4 linked regions of the Canis lupus familiaris genome follow. The protein of the gene in region 2 interacts with the protein of the main gene of each other region in a biochemical or structural test. Links are inferred from orthologs where the notes say so. Each region holds a gene or a part of one and is shown on either strand. Other genes may lie near its edges. The genes, in order: MGMT, PRKCA, SLC9A3R2 and HMGA1.

Region 1 (4,045 bases), on a different chromosome or scaffold from region 2:
GTGGCTGTGCCCCCCTCACCCCTCCCCGGACACTGGGCCCACCCAGCACGTGCTCACAGCGATGTGCCAAGGCCCACCGGAGCTCCTACACCCCTCCTGGAGACCGTCTGAACGACGCAGGGGGCTAATAGGGGGCCCTGCTCATTACACTTGTATCGTTTCAGTTCATTATGTGCGAAAATGCTCAAGGTATTATCTGTTCACTTGTTTGACCTTGTTAATCAACTCAGGTGTGAGCTCAGCTTTCCAGGAGCTTCTCTAGTCACTGCCCCTGAAAATTCTACTCTACTTTTAAGTTCCTTTTCGCTAAAAATCATGGCAGCTATTAGAATGCCATTAAACATATTTAGGATGCTCAGTTTTGAAACTCAAGATTGCTTTAAGTTTACTTTAAAGATATACTTATTTTAGGGGGAGGGGCAGAGGGAGAGAGAATCTCAAGCAGATGCCCTGCTGAGCACAGAGCCCAACGTGGGGCTCGATCTCGCCACCCCAAGGTCACGACCTGAGCCCAAACCAAGAGTCTGATGCTCAACCGACTGAGCCACCCAGGATCCCCTAAATTTGCCTTACCTAAAACCTAAAATTTTTTTCCCTTGAGTATACGTGTGCACACATCTACATATTTACGTGTACACACACACGCATCTATATTAAAATGAGTAAAAAAAAAAAAATCACTACTATGCCAAAGAAACCTCTGCTGTGTGTCTAGAGTAATTTTAGTTGACATAATTAAGGCACAAACAACTTAAAAGGAAGCGTCTGGGAAAATGTTTTTCGGCGACCACAGACCATGTGCCTTTAGCCGGCTACATTAGGCAATGAGTTCTCAATTCGTGCTTTAAGAACACGGTATCCAACTACGGCAAGCTTGAGAAATGAGACTGAGAACTTATCCGCGACAACACAACGCCGCTACCCACTCTGATGTAAATGTCACCAGCCGAGTTTATGGAAGTGGCTAATTGTCCATGTACAAGCCTCATTTTCTGTGCTGTTGGCAAGCAGATAGTTTAAGTTAACAATAAGCTTATTGAAAAATTCCCTGCTATTCAGATGTGTTCCCATTTAAACCTTTCAGCCAACAAGAGTCAAGAGTCGATCTGCATGCATCATTTTTACTGCCTTTGCCAAGAATTATGTGACCATGTGCCAAAACTAACACAAGCATTTGGAATGGGTGGAGATCGTGAACTCTTGTCCTTATAGTGTGGCCACATGCTGTCTCTGTTTAGATGATGTAAAAATACCAAGTCAGTGTAGTCGATAAAATGGGCTGCGATGTAAGTGATAGTTCATCAGTCAAGCTCCCTGAGCAAAACCCTAAGAGGCGGCGGAGTTACTGACCTCGCTGGAAAATGGGATGGTGAATCGCGGGCAAGGGGAGGCCCGGGAGGACCGAGGGCTCACGGAAATAGGCATCCAGCCAGGCCACGCACTGCACCAGTGGCTCCGTCATTTCCTCTGGACAGCCGAGCAGCTCGGGAGGAGCGGGGGCCTCTGCGGGTCTGCAAAAGTGATAACAGGCGCATAATAAACCTCCGGCCCTGCGTCCACACGTGTGAAAAGCAAACAGAAACGTGTAAGTCCATAGCAGTCTCCCCGGGATGTGTGCCCGCTGTGCGGCGCAGCAGTGGGCAGGTGCCTGTGGGAGGGCGTGGGGTGCCTCCCAGCCACGTTTCCACCTTTAGCTTTAAGAAACACAACCAAGAGGTGATTCCAGGAAGGAACAGCCTAGTACACAGGCTCCTGTATTTGGCAGGATGGGACAGAGCCAGGATGATAAGCACAGAAGTGGCCCCAGTGGGCATGTGGCTGCCCCTTCCTAAGACTCAGGCGCACGTGGGTCTCCGTCGCTCATCTGTAAAATCGCCATGTGTTATCAAAAGTACTTAAGAAATATTACCAAAGTAATTCACCTGCATTTTCATCAACCCCCTCCCCAATCCTACTGAATTTCAACACAACAGCACATTCAGGATTTTCCACCGCTCTGAGCTGCGTTCTGGGGGATTTCCTTGGGGTCTGCTTCCAGCCTACAGAGTCTCACGCTGCAGTGTCTAATCCGTGTGCCCGTCGTCCTGCGAGGCTCACATCAGTCACTGTGCTCTGGCTTCTTTTTTTTTTTTTTTTTTTTTTTCCGAGTTCCCTTGTTCAATCACTACGGTCACTTTCTTCCTTTTATCTCCTTAAACTCAAACCAACATACCTGAGACTCCGTTCAGTTTGCTCCTTGCCCTCGGGGTCTAATTCCTCTGTCCAAGGGACCCAGTAGCTGCCTCTCACAGAGCTGACTTACTTTTGGCAGGTGCCAGGTCTCTGGGGAGATCCCCACGGAGAGGCTTTACTCTTGCTGCTTCGGAGCCCTACACTTTCACGATGGATCCAGTTTTCTTTTTTTTTTTTTTTTTTTTTTTTTTTAAATTTAAATTTTTTTTTTTAATTTTTATTTATTTATGATAGTCACAGAGAGAGAGAGAGAGGCAGAGACATAGGCAGAGGGAGAAGCAGGCTCCATGCACCGGGAGCCTGATGTGGGATTCGATCCTGGGTCTCCAGGATTGCGCCCTGGGCCAAAGGCAGGCACCAAACCGCTGCGCCACCCAGGGATCCCTGGATCCAGTTTTCATTTCACTTTCCCAGGACCCCACACCCACCAAAGCACCGGCACCACGTCTGATTTCTTCAGCTGACTTTCCTTCCTTACCCTCCAAGGCCCTGGACAGGCAGCAGGTTTCCTAGTGGCTCCCGGCCTGGAAGGCACAGCCTGTCTCTTTATCCTCGGCTACTGAAGCTTTGGGGGCAGGGGAGGTGCAGGCTCACCCTGTGTGCTGAGGATGCGTGCACGGGCGTCAGTCCACAGCCTGCCTTTTTCACCTTGTACGCAGCAGCCTTACGAGGGTCACCACTCACTGGGCCATGTGGCCCAATGCAGGGACGACAGTGAGACTCAAGTCCCTGAGCGCGCAGCCTGACGCCGCCTGTGTGAGAAGGCCATCGGCACGCACAGGCCGCTGCACGTCTGGAAGCAGGTATGCTTCACGCTAGAGCTGCAGAGAACCCCTGACGACCTCTAAGCAGGTCCTGCACACGATCCTATGCTGGAGTCCAAGTCTTTCATGCCTGGCATTCCATGGAAATGAGAGTCTCCACTGATGGCCTTGGATCTTTGCAGAAATAAGCTTCCTTGTTTGGGATGCACAGAAACACCCTTTATGCTGTTTTTCCACAGTAGAACAGTGGATCAGGGAAGGCTCTCTAAGCACTTGCACATGGACAGTGGTAACGAGGGACCAGACAGAAGGAAGAAAGAACTGAGCCCACGGACGCAAACAGGCAGAGGGACGACAGACGCATGCCCCGAGGTGCTGGCCACGGTCCAGCCATCCTGCCGACCCCCGATGGACAGAGCAGGCCCCGGAGCCACCACCTTCCCGAGATCTCCGTGGGTGGGAACTCCTGTGGACGGGCCCGTGGCCGGCCTGGACCCCAGAGCAATAGAGGGGCACCTCGGAGCCAGCGGAGCAGCTCAAGGGCCTCGCAAAGATGCTCCTGGACGTGGACACGGCACCTCCTTCCTGCCCTGGTCTCTCTCCATCAGGACATCTGGTCGGGGAAGGGGTCAAACTTCCCATGCCCGGCTCAAACATCCTTCATATTTTTTTCCTAAGATTTTATTTATTCATGAGACACACAGAGAGAGGCAGAGAGAGAGAGGCAGAGACATGGGCAGAGGGAGAAGCAGGCTCCCTGCGGGGAGCCTGAGGGAGAACTCGATCCCAGGACCCGGGATCACACCCTGGGCCAAAGGCAGATGCTCAACTGCTGAGCCACCCAGGCGCCCCTCAAACGTTATTCAACTCGAGCAAGTCCAGTCCCTCTGTCCGCACACTGTTCCTCCCGCACAAATCAACACGCGCTGACAATACTGCAAACAAGGGTGGGGAGCAGCGTCAGGTGCCCGGCCGTCCCCCCCGGGGGTGGAGGGAGAGCAGGGGTGCGCTACGGAGAGCCTGGGGCTGCTGCCAGGAAGCAAGGCCAA
Region 2 (4,045 bases):
GGACAGACCAGGTCTCTCAGTCTCAAAGACCCTTCTGTGGTTGTGTTACATGAATTTCAGGCAAACAGAGAGTAAAAAATGAGGCGGTGCTTAGCTGGGAGACGCATTTGGAGAATGAGGGGACTTAGAGCAGCCCCTGTAAGAACGGATAATCACTTCCACGTCGGATGTGCTTTCTGCTGTAGGAGGCTGGCTTCTCCGAGGACCTTGCGTTAGTGTCTCACAGTGTCTCACCACAGATGTACTCCTCATGAGACTGGAAAGGCTGGTTCCAGCAACAGGTGGAAGAAAATCTGTAGCTTCTAACGAGTCTGCGGATAGAGCCAGGGGATGGCTGTGTCGGGATGGGGCGGGGGAGCTGCCAGACTGGACGGTTTGTCTCATGAAGTCTGTATGTGCTGGAGCAAACGGCGAGTCGTTCTGGGGGCAGCAAGACGGACGGTGTGCTTCTGGTGTGTCCACGCATACATAGCAGGATGGGCGTCTTCCTGTCCCTCCCACCCCAAGTCACTAACAGTAACAAGGCTGAAAAGGAAAAACCAAAGTCCAGCCCAGGGGCTGTGACAACATCACACCTACACAAACATACTAGGCATACTGGAGTCAAACACTTCCTGATGTCCCCAAGAGGAAGAGTGGTAAAGGAGTGGACGATGGTGCTGAGGAGCTAGGAGGGAGTGTTATCTCAGAAATAATCCCCAAAAACAAAACATTTGTTTGCAGGTAGAATCGAAAATATGTATGTGTGTGGGTATATATATATATATATTTTATGTATATATATATATATATATGCGCCTAATTGATCATGTAAAATAGCCATTCATTTCAAAATTAGATCTACGATAAAAAAATTAATATATCTGATACAGTGCAGGGTTTGCTTGGGGTGGGAATGAGGGAAGAGGAAGCACAGCAGCAAGGAATGAAGCTAAAACTTAATCATAAAAGCAGATTAGAAACAAGAGCCTTCACAAATATAGCACAATTGTGTCTTATAAAATTATTATAATACTCTCTTTATACTTGATACGATTATATCAATAATATAGATTCACTTGTTATTAAGGTTTATTATAAACATGCAAAATTCATTGCATGATGCATCTGCAAAAACATATTAAAATCCTTCTAGCAATAAAACATCTTCAAGCTGATGTGCATCCAGGCTTTCCTGATTCTACAGCTCCAGGTGTGTCATTCAACATGAACTGGAAATGGAGACCTGAACTGTATTGGTTTTCATCCCTTAGCGGATGTCAAGGGCTGGAGATGGGAGGGAAATCGATCAATGGAGACTTATGCTATAGTCAACACTCTGCTAAGTTACTGTACACCGTACTCTCGTAAACGACATTGCAGCCTAGTAAATAAATAAGTACAAAAGGGGAGGGGGTGTACGCTTCAGCCTCTTAGGACATAGGTAGCAAAATATTGGTTGGAGGGTCGGGGTTGGCTAACAACACTCGTGAGTAGTGGCATGATTGCTGATGGCACCCTGGATCACAGAATAATCTCCCAGAGATTAGAATGAACATACATACACACTGGTTTATCCTTGATCTGAAATGATTTCACATGCTCATTTAGCAAAGTCCTTAGAAGATTTGGCCTCTTAAAAAGAAATGCAAGTATCAAGATAATCGTCAACCAAACTGGGGAGCTGACAGATTCACCCAACGTTCATCTGAGGTTTGCTCTAAGACCAGTAATCACTGGACTATGACTGGGTTACGACTGTCGATGTATGGTAACGGTGAGCTTGCAAATGACTCACCGGTGGGGACTTGATTCATCTCGGCCTCTCAAATTCTAGGGACCGTTTCCACTGAGGCAGAGAACAGAAGCAGTGGGTATTTCAAAGCCTCCCCTACTCCCAATCCCACCTGGTTCACATTCTGGGCTCCCCGTTCTTTCATTCCAAAGACGTCTCAGGTGGAGGGGTGTCTAGCCCACTGGACTGGGACAGGTTCATTTTAACATCTCTGGTTGGGGGACCTCCATGGTGGAAATTGACAGAAAGGCAAGGAAAATACATCAAATCGTACCGAAAAAGGGGGAGAGTTTGTTTGCTTTCTAGGAAGGGTCAACCTACAGCCAGATGTGACTTCTACATAATTAAGCTGGACACTGTACATTATGTCATCTTCCACTAAGGTAATGTTCTTGGTTGTAAGAGACAGACCCTGAACCGTTGCTCACATTTGGACTAAAAACCCTAAAATTTTCAGGCCCCCATCTAGAACAAGAGAAAAGGCCATGGCCTTAAAATTTTAGGGTTAAGGATCATTTCCCACTGCTGGAGGGCTGGGGGCGGGGGAGACGATGGTTCTTCGTGGTGAGTTTCATACCGCACTCTGTAAGATGGGGTGCACAAATTGGGGGTTGACATACGAGAACCCCTCGAAATCAGACTGGTCTATGTTAGCAATGACCAACTGATCAGGTGGTGTTAAGACAGGCTGCCCTCGTGTGAAGAACTTGTCAAAGTTTTCTGCGCCTTTGCCACACTGCAGAGAAAAGAGAAAAAGAAGAAAAGGTCAGTAAATTATTGCAAAGCACAGGTGGCAGCTCTCTCAAGAGTCCTCGGCAGGGAAGAGCGTGGCCCGGGGGAATTGGGACTGGAGAGGCAGGAAGAATTCTGAATCTGGACACCTACTGGATTCAAAAGCCAGCCACAGCAAAGAATAACGCAAAGTCACTCCGTTGCAAACCTTCGATGACCCTCGGAACCGAACCCCTCCATGGAAAGGCACTGCTGATAGTAAGGCAGCAGCAAGGGGACACAGCCTGTTTTATTTCATTTTCACTTCACAAAGCAAGCGGGCTACGAGCATGATGCCACACGCGCAGGGCCATCAGTCACAGCCCATGTCGAAAGGCCAGGATGTTGGGTGGGAATGCAGACAGCAACCTCTGAACCAAGAAGTTGAGATTTCTGTCCTACTTGTGGTTCTCTACAACCATATTTGTAGTACAGTAAAAGCTGTGTTATTTTTGCAACTGGAAAGTGCTAAAAACCTCAGTTCATGATCTTCAACCAATATTGAGGTAGGTGTGGTGGCAAGGTTGGGACATTCACCCTGGGGCCCAGCTGGGCTTCAGCCTATCTAGATCTATCCGATCAACTGGCAGGTCGATACGGGGCTCACTCGCAGGTGGTCTCAGGCTGGAGGGGGTTTGCTCTGGTGCCCTGGACAGGGATAGCAAAGTCTCCTGTCTGTCTTGGATAGTCTTCTCCTGCAGGGTCCACCAGGGCACCCAATAAAGACAGGGCTGCAGGCAGAGCTGCCTTTTTGGAAGCTCTGAGAAACATGGCAGCATGCACAGCACCACGTGGGAGCCTGACCCCAAATCGGGGAAAGGGGTGTCCTCACTTTCTCAGCCGCTCAGGAGGGTTGTGGCATGCTGAAGTCCCCTGGACCCCAGAGGACTCTGAGACAGGAAATGTTGGGGTCACACTGGTGATACAAATCATGGTATTCCACATGTTGCCAATGATCACCCTTCCACCTGCTGGTACCATAGGGGATATGGACCAGTTCTGAGTTAGCACAATTTTATACTAACCAGGCAATACTGGATCTTTAACAGAGGACAGCTCTGTGAAGGGGTGGGGTAGGGGGTGGAGAGTCCACCCCAATCCCTCGAGTGTAAAGGGGGGAGGAGAGCCACATCCTCTCCCTGGGCTATGGAGGTTAAGGGTGTGGTGTTTCACACAGACCCCAGCATGCGGTGAGAGCACAAGGGGTGCTGTTATTTTTGTAAGGCCAGTTTAGTCTCACAGACCATACTTTCCCACTTCCTCTTTTATACCTTTCCCACCATCTAGAAAGTTTCCTCGAGGGTCTAGTTTCATCAGGCTTTTTCCACCCTGCTCCTAAGGCATGTCGTGAGTTCAAAGTAAGGTCTCTCACAACTGACAGCCTCCCTTTCTGGAGGTGTTTTCATTTTCATGAGTGACCACCCACTCACTCCTAATGGCGGGGGGGTGCACACCATGGACTGCTGTGTGGGTATGTGGATGCGTGTGTGGAGGGAGGCA
Region 3 (4,045 bases), on a different chromosome or scaffold from region 2:
GTCCGGGGGTGAGGAGGTCCCCTCTGGCCCACCGAGGCGTGGGGACCTGCGGGCTGGGCCCGGGGCCGAGCGGGGGAGGCCGGGTCACCGGCAAACAGGCAGGGAGGGGCTCAGAAGTTGCTGAAGATCTCGCGCTTCCGGTTCCAGTCCATCTGTGGCGCCCGCTTGTTGACCCGGGTGGCTCTCGCCTTCTCCTTGGCTTCGGCCGCCGTGGGGCTCAGGTGGAGGCCGCTCTCCTGAAAGGGGTCACGCTTCCAGGTGTTGCTGTCCTGGGGGCAGGCAGAGTGGGCAGGCGGCCAGTGTGAGCCTGGGAGGCAGCTCTCCGCAGAGGCCGGCTGGTGGGGCTGGGGCAGCAGGCCCGGGGCTTCCTGGAGGCGGTGACCCCACTGCCCAGGCTGCCAGCCACACCAACACCCACCCCGGCCTCTTTCCACCCTCCCCCATGTGTGGGCACTGCAGTGAGGCGGGCGGGCACTCGCTACCTCAGTGTCCTTGTCTAAGCCAGGCAGATCACTTCGGGACGAACACGCTGAGCCACCGTTCAGCTAGGAAAGCAAGGACACGGTGTGGCTGCAGGGCCCGTGCCCGGGAGCCGCCAGTGCCCACGCAGACGCTCGTGCACACACATCAGAGCCGCATTCATTCTTCTGTCTGGCAGTAGGCACCGAGCCTGGGCAGGAGCCGCGGGTGCTGCCAAGGGCGGGGAGCCTGCCCCCCGCCTGCTCACTACGGAATCACCCCCATGAGCATCACTTGGGGTGAAGCCGGGACCGCCTCCCGAGGAGTGACGCAGCATGACTGCAGCTCACCCGCCAGCAGCCTCGTGGGGCGGGGGCGGGGCTGACCCAGGCAGGACCCGGAGTGGCTGGCAGGATTGGGTCTCGCTATCACACCCACACAGGGAGATCTTGAGGTGGGGGCACGGGCAGGTCTGGGGATCCCTAGAGGGGCCCCAACAGGCTCCTGAGTCCACCCTGTCCATTCCCACCCTCTCACCTGGGCAGGGCTGGTCCCATTGGTGACTGGTGATAGCAGTGGACCTGTGGGGACAGCGTGTCGGTGGCTGGCCAACCCCCCATGCCACCCCGTCCCCAGCCCCAGGCAGCAGCCCACCTTCCACGTGCTCCTCAGTAGGTGTGACCCGTAGCCGCTTGAAGTGCTCATCCGTTTCGGGGTCCACCACCAGCAGCCGGGCCTCGTCCTCCTGCGCCTTGATGCTGGCGACCACCTCTGCGTGGCGCAGCCCCTCCACATTCTGCCCATTCACCTGCCAGCAGCAGCGTGAGGTCAACCTGGCCCGAGGTCAGGCCCCCGCAGGCCCCTCGAGCCACCCAGCCAGGCGTGGCATCAAATATTCATCAATGTTGTCACCAGCCGTGGCAGGAAGAGGAATGCCAGCTCAAGTTCCCAGCATCTCTCCCCAGCAAGGACCTTGCTGCCCAGACACACCCGGGGCACACAAGCCAGACACACACATGGAGGGACACGGGCCAGACACACATCGGGGCACACGAGCCCAGAAACACACCCCAGGGGCACACGGGCCAGACACACACATGGAGGGACACGGGCCCAGACACACACCCGGGGGCACACGAGCCCAGACACACACCCCAGGGCACATAGGCCAGACACACACATGGAGCGACACGGGCCAGACACACACCCCAGGGGCACACGGGCCAGACACACACATGGAGGGACACAGGCCCAGACACACACCTGGGGCACACGAACCAGACACACCCGGGGGCACACGAGCCAGACACACACATGGAGGGACACGGGCCCAGACACACACCTGGGGCACACGGGCCAGACACACACCCGGGGCACACGGGCCAGACACACACCCCAGGGGCACACAAGCCAGATACACACATGGAGGGACACGGGCCCAGACACACACCTGGGGCACACGAGCCAGACACACACATGGAGGGACACGGGCCCAGACACACACATGGAGGGACACAGACCCAGACACACACCCGGGGCACACGGACCAGACACACTCAGGGGCACACGGGCCAGACACACACACTCAGGGGCACACGGGCCAGACACACACCCCAGGGCACATGGGCCAGACACACACCCTGGGGGCACACAAGCCAGACACACACATGGAGGGACATGGCCCAGACACACACCCGGGGCGACACGGGTCCAGACACACACCTCAGGGCACAAAGGCCAGACACACACCCCAGGGGCACACAAGCCAGATACACACATGGAGGGACACAGACCCAGACACACACCCCATGGGCACACGAGCCAGACACACACATGGAGGGACACGGGCCCAGACACACACACCTCTCATGGGGCCCCCAGCACCCCAAAGCCTCCACAACAGGTACCTCGATGAGTCTGTCCTGGGCGCGGAGGCCAGAGTGAGCGGCAGGCGAGCCTGGGTCCACGGAGCGGATGTACTGTCCCGGCCGGGACTTGTCACTGTGCAGGTTGAACCCGTAACCTTGGGGGCCCTTTCTCAGGTGGCAGAGCCGAGGGCGTAGCTCCCTGGGGGGCCCACCGACATCCTGCAGGCGCATGAGACCAGGCTCAGCACTGATCTCCAGCCCCCAAGCCTCCCCCACCCCGCCCCCCATCTGCAGCTGCAGTGGACGCAAGCTGGAGGGAACCCTAATTCCAGGCTCTACATTCCCCCGCCAGGCAGCCCCAGCTCACAGGACAAACGCTGTACCCGTGCCTGGGTGGACCCCCTTAGGCCGCCTGTGCCCAAGCTCCAGCTGCAGGTTCTGGAGCAAAGCCTCACTCTCCAAACCCAAAACCAACTTGAGGTGGGACTAGGGGCTTGACAGGGGTGCTGACAGGATCCGCTCAAGGGCAGCGCTGAGCACAGGCCGGGGTCCTAGGGGCAGCCAGGCGTCCTGGGCCCGCTGGCCCTGCGGGGGCACCCCTCGCCACCTCCCTCCTCCGAGTGTGAGGCTGACGTTTGTTTTTTCTCCCAGTGGCCTCCATAGGGCTGGTGGCAGCAGGCTGTGTTTGCTTTCACATTCCAGAGCAAGCTGGAGCCACCCCCACCCGCACAGGGCCCAGCGGCGGGGTGCACAGGCTGGAGCCGGGCCGGAGCCCAGCGAGGAGGCCACGGGTATGCCCTGCCTCCACCCTCCCTGCCAGAGCACAGAGGTCCCCGACGCCCCGAGCGTCCCCCCATCCACAGGCCAGGGCCTCGCCTCACTTTACCTCCAGCATCCTGCAGCAGGGCTCTGGGGCAGGGGCCGGCGGGCAGGGGCCAGGCCCCGGGCCCCCTCCCAGCCGCAGCCCGGGTAGTGAGCAGAGCGCCCAGCAGCCGCGGAGCGGGTGCTCAGTTACACGGGGCGGTGGCTGGAGGCGGGCGGCGGCGGCTCGGATTGCCCGGGCTGCTGGGGATGTGGGGGCGCGTGCAGGTGAGCGTGTGCGGCGTGGGGGTGCTCCTGAAGCCCTCCCTCCCCCGGTCCACCTCGCCCTCGCCCTCGCCCTCGCCCTCAGGGAAAGTCTCCAGCACCTGCCCCTCAGCTCCTCAGCTCGGGCCACCCCCTGGCCGCTCCCAGCCGCCCCCCCAAGCTCCGTCCACACCCCCAATCTGACCACGAGGGCCCTGGCCTGCTAGCCGGCCGGGCCGGGGACCCAAGCACATCTTTTCTTGCAGGGCCTCCCACTGTCCAGAATGCCCCTCCTCTGGGGTCCCTTCCCTGACCCCCGAAGCCACGCAGACACGCCCTTGGGATCCCTGCCACAGGCCCCCACCCAGCCCCGTAAGCCCAGGAACTCAGGGGACAGGGCTCCTGCCCCTCAGTGTCCCAGGGGTTCGGCAACATGGGCTGAACGGATGGGTGTGAGACCCCCAAAGTTCTCCCCCCACCCCATAGAGACTCATCCCCTCTCCCTGACACTCCTGGGGGCCCAGGCTTGGGGGCCCACTCCCCGCCCTGATGTGCCTCTCGGATACAGGCTGCCAGAGCAGGGATCGGCAGACAAGCCCCGGTTGGCAGAGGTGCGTGGGCACAGACACAAGACTCCAAACGTATGCTCACAA
Region 4 (3,979 bases), on a different chromosome or scaffold from region 2:
CCCACTAGGATTCCTGGCTCAGGTTGGGCAAAGCCATCTTCCCAGGCAGAGCACGCAGGACTAATCTGTCACCCATTCTTAAACACCCTCCCAGGAAGTAAGAAACCGCCGCCATCCCTTCACCTACCAGTTTTTTGGGTCTGCCCCTCGGTTTCCTCCCTGGAGTTGTGGTAGTTTTCTAGATGGTCAGAGAAAAAGATCCACTAAGTTGAAAAACATCCCTACCACTGCTCACCGGATGCCCAGTGCCCCACCAGGATGGGGAGGGACCGAACCACCTACCTCTGCTCAGGGCAGCCTGGGACTCCCTCAGCCTGCGGGCCCACCCGAAGCCAGCTGGTGATGACTGGCTAGCCACACTGCACCCCCCCCCCAATATACACACACGCCCCCCACTCCCTCCTCCACCCATGACTCAGAGGATATGAGTCGTGTCTCAGAAAAAATAAAATAAAAAACAAAACAACTTCTCTGAGAGACTGATGCCACTGTAAATCTGGCCTACCCTGCTTGGCCCCATTTCTCTGGGGATTCAGGGGACCCCGGAATGGAACGGAACATGGTCAGCCTAGGGAGTGATGGAACTACCCCTTCACTCTTCCCCATTCACCTTTCTCCAGACAAGGAGAGCTATGGGGCTTCTAACTGGATTTCCCCATCGTCCTGTGCAGGCCTGAGTGCCCACCAGTGAGGAGTCAGTCATTGCCCTGCTGTCCCCAGTTTGCCAAGACCCACTGCCACCCGTGCCTCCTTCATCCTTACCCGGGTCTTGGCAGCACCCTTGTTTTTGCTCCCCTTTGGTCGGCCCCGAGGTCTCTTAGGTGTTGGCACTTCACTGGGTTCCTTCTGCAAAGGCAGGTGGGATAATCGGACACAGATGCCATCTGCCCCACCCCTTTCGAGACACAGCTCTCCCCTCCACCCCAAGTCAGCCAGCCATCACCCTGACCCAGAAATCCACAGGCACCACAGCAGGCAAGCCCTCCAGACCCAAGTTCTCGCTCTATTTTGCAAAGCCCCTCCCGTGCTTCCCTGTGACAACAAAATGACAAGAAACCAGAAAAGGGAAAGGGGTCATAGGGCAGAAAAACCCATCCGGCAGCTCTGCCACCAATGGGCCCTAAGCTCTCAGGCAAGACCCAGAATGCTTGGGACTCAGTCTCCTCAACTGCAAATGGTGAGAAGACTTCCCTCACAGAGCATCAGAGCCTCAAGGAAGGGTGCAGAAGTGTCCCCCACTGGGCCAATACCACGCCCCAGCCCCTGGGGGAATGCAGAAGAGGATAAACACCCCCCAACCAGAGGGAGCCTCCAACCACTACCTGCAAACCAAACTCCCTCCAGGCTTTGTCCCAGGGAGGGAAATCAGGCCCGGATGTCAGAAACCAAGAGATCCCTGCCGTAGTCGCCGGTGAAATTTACTAAGCCTGACTAAGCCTGACGGAATAAAAAGCTGCTGCATAATGCACAGAAGCTGGACAGTAAAGGCAGGTCAGCTACGGTTTCGGGGTAGCTGCCCACAGGCTGTTTGGAACTATAGTCCAGTAACCCAAAACACCCCCCACCACCACCCAGACACCCGGCTGCAGACCCCAGCTACCTAGCAAGAGGTGGAGGCCGAGGGAATGAGACAAAAAGACCAACTCCCTCCACACTGTGGGCTGTGCCAGGGGCAGCTGAAGCCCACCACTCTGACTTCTCAGGGCTCATGTCTCCCCGCAGTCAGTACCTCCCGTGCTCTCCATCCTACAGGTAGGAGAAGCCTGAGGCCCACGGAGCAAAGAGCAAGGGTTGACCTGGACCCCTGGCCTCTGGCCCTCACCCCTGCAGCCCCTCCGAGAGAATCCAAGATCTCCACCAAGTGACAGGTGCTCCCCCGACAGCCTCACAGGCCATGCTCCCTAGGGTGCCCCAAGGGGCCAGGCTGGCCTTCTAACCCTGTGGAACCTCAGTGGTGGCCAGCACCAGGGTTCCCAGAGTCCCACTCCTATGACAACTTCCCCACATTTTCTGTTCTTGGGCTTCCGTTTCCTTTTACGGAGCCAGAGTGGTGCCTGGGCCCAGGGCCGCTTGAAGCCAGGCCTGTGGACAGGTGCAGCCCACAAGCTTTGTTATAGGTCTGGGATAAGGAAGTACGGAGTTGACAGTTAAGTATTTAGTAACTTTTATGGCTAATGGACAGACAAGTATGTGCCGTGAGCCTAAGGATTAGAAACACAGGACTTAGACATATATGTAAACTCCTCTTTACTGTGTTTTTGTAAACATGCTGGTCTATCCACAACAGCCTGGACATAAAGGGTGGGTAGTTTACCAGGATGTGAGCATGAGGTCACTTCTGGCTTGGATTATCTGGCATGGGCTCAGGGGTCACTCAAATTTCTCAGCCCCCCCCCCCAAAAAAAAAAAAATTTCTCAGCCCCCACTTCTCTCCTGGGGTCTCAGGAGCTGACCAGGGTTGGCATGTGTGGGGTGCATGTTTGGAGTGAGCGCACACCGACATGCAGCATGGATTCTGCAGCCCTCTACTCCAGCTGTCACTTGCTCAGACACGTGGCACCTCCCTAACCCAAAGGGGGTAAACCGAGCAAAGGTTTGGACACCCACCTGACTCCCTACCAGCGCCGTCCCGGGACTCACCGGAGGCTGCTTGCGCGGCCGGCCCCGCCCTCGCTTCTCAGTGCCGTCCTTTTCCTGCTTGGAGGCCAAAGGCTGGCTGGACTTCGAGCTCGACTCGCTCATCTTCCCTTCTCTCTGGAGCAGGTGGAGGAGCGACGGCTGGGATGCTAGGGAGCAGGAGAAGTTGTTTTAAACACGACATCTTGCTTCAGCCACCTCCTATCTCCTTCACCACTTCCACCCTCCAAATGCACTGTAGGACCCTGCCTACTCCTAGGGCTACCCAGGATTCCTGACATCCTGAGGATGGGATGAGGGGGAATCCCTGGGTGGCTCAGTGGTTTAGCGCCACCTTCAGCCCAGGGTGTGATCCTGGAGTCCTGGGATCAGGTCCTGCATCGGGCTCCCTGCATGGAGCCTGCTTCTCCCTCTGCCTGTGGTCCCTGTCTCTCGCTGTGTGGGTCTCTCATGAATAAATAAATAAAATCTTAAAAAAAAAAAAAAAAAAGCCTTAAAAAAAAAAAAAAAAAGGATGGGGAGTTGTGGGGGGTGTCTACCCAGCCCGGGCAGGCTGCTACAGGGTGGGGCTGGGCCGTTGGCCCTAATCAGCTCCTTATCTCCTGCTCAGAAGGGTGCTTTGTTGTCCTGCCACCCCCACGGGGCCCAGGCTCAAGAGGCACAGCCAAGCTCAGATGTATTTCTGCAGGTGAGGCCACCTAGACGGAGGTGTAGGTTGGGGGGTCCTCACACTGCCCAAGGTCCCTCTGTCTAGCCAGCTGCCCTTTCTCTTAGAGAAAAGCAAGCCTGAATGGCTCACAGTCAACAGGGGAGGAAAGGGAAGCAGAATCAATCAGCCCCAGACAGCCAGGGCCATCAGTACCCCCCCACCTGGCCAAGAGAGTTGCCTATCTGCCACGGCCCAAGCCTCAGGACCAACTGCGACACTCCACATCAATCACCTGGCCAGGGGTGGTGCCCACCCCACCACTTAGGTCTCCTCTCTGCTCTCCCTGGGCAAGAGCCTTGGGGATTCAAGGCTGGGAACAGTTTGGGAAGGGGGAAGATGGCCAAAATTGTAGTAGGGGAGGAAAACCCAAAGCCCTTTCCCCTTATCCCCACCCCACCCACCTGGAGTCAAATAAAATCTTCCCCTTTGATGCCTGCTTTCAGGAGGGGCAGAATTTCTCCACTGAGATGGATCCTTCTAGCAGATGCTGGCTGCCCTCCCTCCCTCCCACCCCCCCAGCCCTGGCAGAGCTGGTCCTCAAAGCTTCTTTTCTAGCATTTTCCCTCTTCTTAGAGGCCGTTTTGGGTTTAATCAGCCCCACTAATTTTGAGTTTACATAAAACCTCCCACTGC

The links.
Region 1: of the proteins of PRKCA (region 2) and MGMT, one has a biochemical effect on the other in vitro, tested with the Homo sapiens proteins (2 studies listed by BioGRID). The link is inferred for Canis lupus familiaris from reciprocal best matches to the Homo sapiens genes PRKCA and MGMT.
Region 3: the proteins of PRKCA (region 2) and SLC9A3R2 form a complex in vitro, tested with the Homo sapiens proteins (2 studies listed by BioGRID and IntAct, with this or other methods). The link is inferred for Canis lupus familiaris from reciprocal best matches to the Homo sapiens genes PRKCA and NHERF2.
Region 4: of the proteins of PRKCA (region 2) and HMGA1, one has a biochemical effect on the other in vitro, tested with the Homo sapiens proteins (2 studies listed by BioGRID). The link is inferred for Canis lupus familiaris from reciprocal best matches to the Homo sapiens genes PRKCA and HMGA1.

The regions. Positions count from the first base shown.
Region 1 is NC_049249.1:38,739,224-38,743,268, reverse strand, and holds part of MGMT (methylated-DNA--protein-cysteine methyltransferase), read right to left. Parts: intron 1,512-4,045; coding exon 1,351-1,511; intron 1-1,350. UniProt on the Homo sapiens protein: Involved in the cellular defense against the biological effects of O6-methylguanine (O6-MeG) and O4-methylthymine (O4-MeT) in DNA. Repairs the methylated nucleobase in DNA by stoichiometrically transferring the methyl group to a cysteine residue in the enzyme.
Region 2 is NC_049230.1:13,279,542-13,283,586, reverse strand, and holds part of PRKCA (protein kinase C alpha type), read right to left. Parts: intron 2,511-4,045; coding exon 2,346-2,510; 3' UTR 1-2,345. UniProt on the Homo sapiens protein: Calcium-activated, phospholipid- and diacylglycerol (DAG)-dependent serine/threonine-protein kinase that is involved in positive and negative regulation of cell proliferation, apoptosis, differentiation, migration and adhesion, tumorigenesis, cardiac hypertrophy, angiogenesis, platelet function and inflammation, by directly phosphorylating targets such as RAF1, BCL2, CSPG4, TNNT2/CTNT, or activating signaling cascade involving MAPK1/3 (ERK1/2) and RAP1GAP.
Region 3 is NC_049227.1:39,349,879-39,353,923, forward strand, and holds the end of SLC9A3R2 (Na(+)/H(+) exchange regulatory cofactor NHE-RF2), read right to left. Parts: intron 2,547-4,045; coding exon 2,367-2,546; intron 1,268-2,366; coding exon 1,114-1,267; intron 1,041-1,113; coding exon 997-1,040; intron 546-996; coding exon 483-545; intron 270-482; coding exon 111-269; 3' UTR 80-110; downstream 1-79.
Region 4 is NC_049233.1:3,710,326-3,714,304, reverse strand, and holds part of HMGA1 (high mobility group protein HMG-I/HMG-Y), read right to left. Parts: intron 2,787-3,979; 5' UTR 2,743-2,786; coding exon 2,608-2,742; intron 847-2,607; coding exon 763-846; intron 179-762; coding exon 128-178; intron 1-127. UniProt on the Homo sapiens protein: HMG-I/Y bind preferentially to the minor groove of A+T rich regions in double-stranded DNA. It is suggested that these proteins could function in nucleosome phasing and in the 3'-end processing of mRNA transcripts.